Linked DNA regions of Mus musculus. The main gene of each other region encodes a partner of the protein of the gene in region 2 in a complex. Links are inferred from orthologs where the notes say so. Each region holds a gene or a part of one and is shown on either strand. Other genes may lie near its edges.

What was found.
Region 1: the proteins of Sctr (region 2) and Sct are in contact, whole or in part, in a cryo-EM structure (PDB 6WZG), measured with the Homo sapiens proteins. The link is inferred for Mus musculus from reciprocal best matches to the Homo sapiens genes SCTR and SCT. Residues at the interface, in NP_002971.2 of Homo sapiens: Arg30, Leu31, Cys32, Leu35, Asp71, Asn72, Pro117, Val125, Val127, Asn128, Asp129, Asn132, Arg135, His136, Leu139, Leu140, Leu142, Lys143, Tyr146, Tyr150, Arg188, Asn192, Lys195, Leu199, Phe200, Ser202, Asp203, Val205, Met219, Phe222; in NP_068739.1 of Homo sapiens: His28, Ser29, Asp30, Gly31, Thr32, Phe33, Thr34, Ser35, Glu36, Leu37, Ser38, Arg39, Leu40, Arg41, Glu42, Arg45, Leu46, Gln47, Arg48, Leu49, Leu50, Leu53, Val54.

The regions. Positions count from the first base shown.
Region 1 is NC_000073.6:141,277,602-141,280,645, forward strand, and holds Sct (secretin isoform 2 preproprotein), read right to left. Parts: upstream 1,533-3,044; 5' UTR 1,498-1,532; coding exon 1,415-1,497; intron 1,334-1,414; coding exon 1,232-1,333; intron 1,122-1,231; coding exon 1,017-1,121; intron 939-1,016; coding exon of another isoform or gene 921-938; coding exon 809-920; 3' UTR 728-808; downstream 1-727. UniProt on the Homo sapiens protein: Hormone involved in different processes, such as regulation of the pH of the duodenal content, food intake and water homeostasis.
Region 2 is NC_000067.6:120,041,162-120,044,980, reverse strand, and holds part of Sctr (secretin receptor isoform 1 precursor), read right to left. Parts: intron 1,674-3,819; coding exon of another isoform or gene 1,560-1,673; intron 1,531-1,559; coding exon 1,433-1,530; intron 351-1,432; coding exon 218-350; intron 1-217.

The DNA.
Region 1 (3,044 bases), on a different chromosome or scaffold from region 2:
CAGCCACAGCTAGGAGCTGGGGTTTGGGGAGCCAGTATCTGATGGAAGACAGGAATCCTGGTGAGGACACAGCCCAGGCCTCCATTAGATATGCTTCCTCTCCTTTTGCCTGTAAGCTCTCAGAGATAGGAAGAAGGCCCTGGGTGGGATCAGGAGGGTCGTAGGGGGTGTTCTGTTGAAAGGGCCTGCACAGCTCTCACTACTGTGGGCCTTTGCAGGGCTGGCTGCTTTAGGTGTCTGAAAACCTTCCCGAGGCTCCAAGCCTCTGCAAAGACTGAGCACTGTCTCACAACCCTTCACTGGTCCTACAGCTGCCTACTGGGAGATGACATCACCGTCAGGCCTCAGGCCTAGACATGTTAGAGCCAGGATGTACTCAGGTCCTCCCACTCATAAGCGGACCCCTATGACCCCGCCTGAGCCTCCTCCTCACCACTTCATTTACCCTGGCCACATGGCTGGACCAGGGTGGGGAGTCCCTGATCCCTAGAAATTTTGCTAAATGGACCACAGGGCAAGGTGGCACTCTAGGGAATTCAGCTGGGAAAAGAGGGGTTCAGCTGATGCCAGAGATAAGAAATGTCCTAGCTGGCTTCTTGGGTTCAAAGGGCAGCTGGGTGTGGTCCTAGCCACTGAATGAGATGGCTGGATCTGTCCACGCCTTCCAGGCTCTCGGAGCAGAGGCGGCCTTCATTTTATCAGACATCACACACCATGAGCTAAAAGACCAGGGTCTAAATTCCTTTTTTATTGATGCCAAGGACAACCAATCCCTACTCCAGCCAGGGTCCTAGAGACTCTTCCTCCCTCATCTGGGTGGCCTGGTTGTTTCAGTCCACTCTGAACGATCAACAGCAGACCTTGGTCCAGGAGGCAGCCAGAGAGACAGGGACCCATCCAGGGACAGCCTGGGCAGAAGCCTGTGGAAGGAGAGGGGACTAGTGAGTGACCATCAGAGTGCGGGTACCCACCTGGCTGGGGCACTTTAGGAATCCAGCTGAGGATGGAAAACTCACCAGTCCTGTAGGGTCTGAGTGTTCGACCACAGCAAGCAGAGCTGGTCCTCTAAGGGCTTGGACCGGGCCAGGCTGTTCTCTGGGATATTTTCTGTGTCCTGCTCGCTGACCCCACCCCCACCCCCACGCCCAAAGTAGAATTAGTGGTGTACAGGGATGTGGCGGGCCTGTCCCATACTAGCCAGTCTGGAAAATTCTACCTAGCGCGGGCTCACCTGCGCTTCCCCACCAGACCCTGCAGCAGGCGCTGCAGCCTGGCACTGTCCTGCAAGCGGCTGAGCTCGCTGGTGAACATTCCGTCTGAGTGTCTTGGGGTCCTGGGGAGGGGTGAAGCCATAAGGGTCAGAAATTGAAGTGTGGGCGTGGCCGGGATGAAACGGATTCCCAACCCTGCTCACCTGGGAGGTGCAGGGAGCGCGGCGGAACTGGAGAGCAGCAGCAGCAACAGCAGTAGCATCGGCGTGGGCAGCGGAGGCTCCATGGTCGGGCTCTGGGTGTGACAAATGCTGCAACTTCAGCCTGAGCCCCGCGCCACCGCTTTATAGCTGCCGGGACCGCCGGCGGCGGTGGGCTCCAGCACCGCCCCGGCTCCGCGCGGCCGGCCCCGCCTCATTGATTGCAGGAAGGTCAGGGCCGCCCACCCAGCTGTCGTCCGGCCACCTCCTGTCCCTACCGCCGTGTTGGCGCCCCTCAACTGCCTTGGGGGGGGAGATTAGAGGAGTAGTGCTACCAAGTAGCGAAATGGACATCTTCATCTGTGTCCAGGGATAGAAAATAGGGGTGGCAGTTCAGGACGGGCAGAGCGAACCGCACTGTGAGACCTCAACTCATCTTGGAGCCTAGCCTAGACCAAGACCTTGCCGCACTCTTGTCTGGAAGGAGCTGTAGGTGTCTTGAGGAGCCTAGGGCAGGCAGACGACTGAGAGGAAAGGAAGACCAGTGTCCTAGCGCTCCTGCTGAAGCCAGGGCAGGGTAGACTACTGCAGATAACCACCTTAAGGGCAGCTCAGCACCAGAAACAAAATGGGAATCCTCGTAGGCCTGGGGTTGCATTTTTGGATGGAAGGAGACAGTTTATTTGAATTGGTAGCAGAAAATGGAGATAGGTTAGAATAAAAGAAACGCAGGTGGGTAGAGGTTGTAAAGGAGTTGGGGCGGGGAGCTATGGATGGGGATTGAAGACAAATAGGCTTGCAGAACATCTTCATACTTGGAGTCCCCGACCTTAGTGGTAGCAGTACGCACCAAGACCTGAGTTCAACCCAGCACCGAAACTCAAATCAAAAAAGATAACCCTTGGGGCTGGAGAGATGGCTCAGAGGTTAAGAGCACTGACTGCTCTTCCAAAGGTCCCGAGTTCAATTCCCAGCAACCACATGGTGGCTCACAACCATCTGTAATAAGATCTGACGCCCTCTTCTGGTGTGTCTGAAGACAGCTACAGTGTACTTACATATAATAAATAAATAAATATTTAAAAAAAAAAAAAAAAGATAACCCTTAATATCAAATTACAAACCCAGAGAACTGTTAGGAGCTAACTCTCAGATAAAAATCATATGGTTTTGTTTTTTTTTAATTTTTTTTATTAGGTATTTTCCTCGTTTACATTTTCAATGCTATCCCATAGGTCCCCCATATCCACCCCCCTCAATCCCCTACCCACCCACTCCCCCTTTTTGGCCCTGGTGTTCCCCTGTACTGGGGCATCTAAAGTTGGCAAGTTCAATGGGCCTCTCTTTGCAGTGATGGCCGACTAGGCCGTCTTTTGATACATATGCAGCTAGAGTAAAGAGCTCTGGGGTACTGGTTAGTTCATATTGTTGTTTGGTTTTGTTATTAGGAATTGTTTCTTTTTGTTTTTTTTGGGGAGACGGAGTATTTAGCTCACGTTGCCTTTGATCTCACTATGTAGCCCAAGTTGGCCTGGACCCTCAACAGCAGAGATTGCAAATCTGAGCCACCAAGACCAGCTCTGTTTGCAGTTTGGGAGGAGGGGTTTGGCAGCTTGGGACTTCTTTGCTTTGC
Region 2 (3,819 bases):
GGGCGCTCTGAGCCCTCGGAACCAAAGGCAGCCTCCACAGATTCTAATATACGCGGCTTACATCATGCCTCCACGGCTGCATTAGGAAACCTCCTGGAACTCCCACTTCCTGCCAAGCACCGTATCTGTGTAATCTTAATGGCGCGTTGCAAGGAGGACACTATGCTATGGGGTTTGGTTCTCTCCAAGGTCAGTCTAGGACATTTAGTCATGTTACCCTGTGGGCATCACAGTAGGTGACGTCATCTGCGGGGAAGAGTACGGCGTCCTTGATGAAGTTGGACAGGGCGCGAAGGATGAAGGACACAAACAGGTGCATGTGGATGTAGTTGCGAGTGCAGTGCAGCCTCCTGTCAGAGAGAATGTGGGGCTGCGAGATCATGGAAGGAGGGGCTGGTGCTCACACAGGTGTACCTGCCCCTGCCCCCTCCCCTTGCATGGAGAAACCAAAGCCCTGCCACCAGCCCTCAGGTCCCATCTGTCTCTGCTAAGAGAACTCGAGTGAGGGCATAGGTCCCTAGGTGCCTGGCACATCCTGTACTGTACTGAAGAAAGCCAGGCCTAGTGGTGCATGCCTGTAATCCTAGCACCTGGGTGGTGGAGGCAGAGGGATCATCTCAGATTCTAGGCTCCCAGGGGCTACTTGGTGATACCATGACTCAGGACAGAATAGACCAGAACAGAATGGAGTAACATAATCACTAGTTTTGGAACAGCAACATGTCTTCTGCCCTGGCCAACCATCACCTCCAGCTCCCCAGTTTTCTCCTGTGCTCTAGGGACTGGAAGTTTGTTACTGGTTCTCCTTGCCATTATTTTATTTTGAGATCGGATCGTTCACAGCCTCGTCTGGCCTCCAATTGCCTTTGTAGCCAAGGGTGACCATGAACTTCTGATCCTTTTACCTCCACCTGGGGTAGCCACAGGGCATGTGTCACTGTTTCCAGTTTATGCAGTTCAGGGGACTGAACCCATGGCCTTGTGCTTGATAGGTGGGCACTCTGCTAACGGAGCCACATCCCTAACCCCACAAGAGAGCTTTGCATAGAGGGTGTCCAGCCTTTCAGCTTTTCTGGACTGCACTGGACAAAGACTTGTCTTGGAACGCACATTAAATCCAGGGGTGTCCAACCACCGCCTTCTGGATTTGAAGGCATGCATACATATGTTTACATACATTTTTTTGCATGATATTGCAATAGCACATTTTCATCTACAAAATTTACTCCTTTTGTGAGTTACAAAAAAAAACCCCAAAAACATGTTTTAAGTTTCCAATTTTGTGTTGAGCTAGATTCATAGCTATCCTGAGCTTATCAAGATGGCCGGGCAGCGCCCCCCCTTCCATCCTGAGTAATAGGGAGAGATTTAAGGACTGTGTCCCTGCAGGCGGGGGTTGAGGGAGTATTGAGAGTGGGCAGGATGTTCTCACCGGAAAGAGCACAGGATGCTGAGGGCGACCAGGAGCATGGCCAAGGAGGAACTGTAGCCTACAGTGTACATGACCTTGAGCTTCAGCAGGTATGCATGCTGCAGAGAGAGGCACAGGTCAGCCCTACCTGCCCACCTCGATGGAGCTGATTCTTCTGTATTCCAATGGCAGTGGCTTGAGGCAGGACTGGTCCCATCCACCTCCGTGTTCCAACGGCTGTTGGCAGGTCCCTTTACCAGCACTATGAATGCAAGGCTTTACTGGAATACCTCCAGAGGCAAGCTGCTCGCTCACTACCTCTGGTGGAAGTCATACAACAATACAAAATACTAGAAAAAAAAAGGTTTTAAAGAAAAAAAGTTTTTATGTGTATCAGTCTGGCCTCAAGCTTCCTATGTGGATGGCCTTACACTCCGGATCCCCCTGCCTCCACTTCTCAAGTGCTTAGATTGGAGGCGTGGGCTACCATGCCTGGTTTTCATGGTGCTTGAGAATCAACCCCAGGGCTCCATGTATGCTAGGTAAGCACTCTTTCACGCTAACTGCACCACCAGCCCCCTCCCTTTTCGTCTTTGAGACACAGGGTCTTATATATTCCAGGCTGGCCTTGAACCTATAACATAACTGAAGGTGACCTTGAACTTCTAATCCAAGCACAGGCATCAAAGGTGTGTGTGCACTATGGTTCCCTGCAGGAATGTTTTAAAGTAAGATTCAAATTAGCTAACTTTTGTATTCCATCTGTGAGGTTTTTTTTTTTTCCTTCTAGAACCATCTAAAATAAATGCACCTTATAAATGGAGTTTGCCCCATGTACACAGAGCCCTGTCGGTTTTAATAGTCACTCTCCCCTCTGCCCCTCTTATCCTCTCAGCACTCAAGGCCTGTGTCTTCCCTCTCTCCACACCCTTCACCATTGAGTTTAATCAAAAGAGTGCTTTGTTGGTGTGCTTAAAGAAGAGCCCCAGGGGCCTGGGACGATGGCTGAGCACTCCAGAGTGCTTGAGGAAGGCCTGAGTTTGGATCCAGTCCCTACGTTAGGCAGCTCCCAGTGACCCTTAACTCCAACTCCTGGAGATCAGACATATTCATCTGACCTCCAAAGGCACCGCACGCACGCACGCACGCACATATTCGTATAACACACATAAATAAAGATACAATTATTTTTTTGTTGGTTTTCTGAGACAGAGCTTCTCTGTGTAGTCCTGGCTGCCCTGGAATTCAAACTATAAACCAGGCTGGCCTTGAACTCAAATCCACCTGCCTCTGCCTCCTGGGTTCTTGGATTAAAGGTGTGCACCACCACTTCACTGCCTGGCATAAAATGAATACTTTTAAATGACAATGACAAGAATCACATCTCTGTACAGCCCAGGCAAGACGCACAGTGCATCACCCGGCCTGTACCCTACCTTCCTGTGAATGCACCCAGACATTACTCTTTCACCAGCCCCTTCACACTGTGTGATGCAGAAACATTGCAGGAGAAAGGAATACTGAACAAAAACATTAAATAACACCTGCATTTCAACTCAGAAAAATGAACTGTACTATAGTCTTAAAGTGGGTTGAGGAAATGAATGTTATAACAGTGGTTAATATTAATCATATAATAATACATGACATAATTATATATGATAAAGGTTAATATATTAATTCTATATTAATTATAATATACAAAATCATATACTATAATTGATATATTAAGATATAATTATATATTTGTATATTATATATAATTAATATTATATTAACAACCAGACTGACAGATATTTAAAATTAATAATATTCTACCCAGGTACAGGAATAGTGGGAGTGAAAACCGGTTGAATTTTCAGGCAAAGAATGTGTAACTACACATTGAGAGCCTCTGAGGTAGGGGTTTCTTCTGACCCCCCTTCCACTTTAGGACAGGGTCTCACATAGCGTGAAGTGTAGCTGGCGATGATCTTGAACAACCAATCCTTTTATTGCCACCTCCTGTGTGGCGTGTGCCACCCTGCCCAGTTTTCACAGTACTGGGGATGAACCAGGGCTTCCTGTGTGCTAGACAGGCATACTCTACCAACGGGGCTGCAGCCGAGCACTCTAGGAGGTAATTCTAAGAAACTGGGGCAGCCCTCTGTAGGCACAGGTTCTGTGTCCACATACATATCCAATGAACCACAATTTTTAAATATTAGTGGAGATGGGGGTGCTGTTTCTGTGTCAGAGAGATGGCTTAGCAGATAATGCCACTCACTACCAAGATTTATGCCCAGGTTCTACCCCTAGCACCCACATAGTGAAAGGAAAGAACCAAGCTGCAAACTCTTCTCTGACCTTACATGAGTCATGGCGCATGCCTCCTACATAGAACAAATAAGTAAATGCAAAAAAAGTCT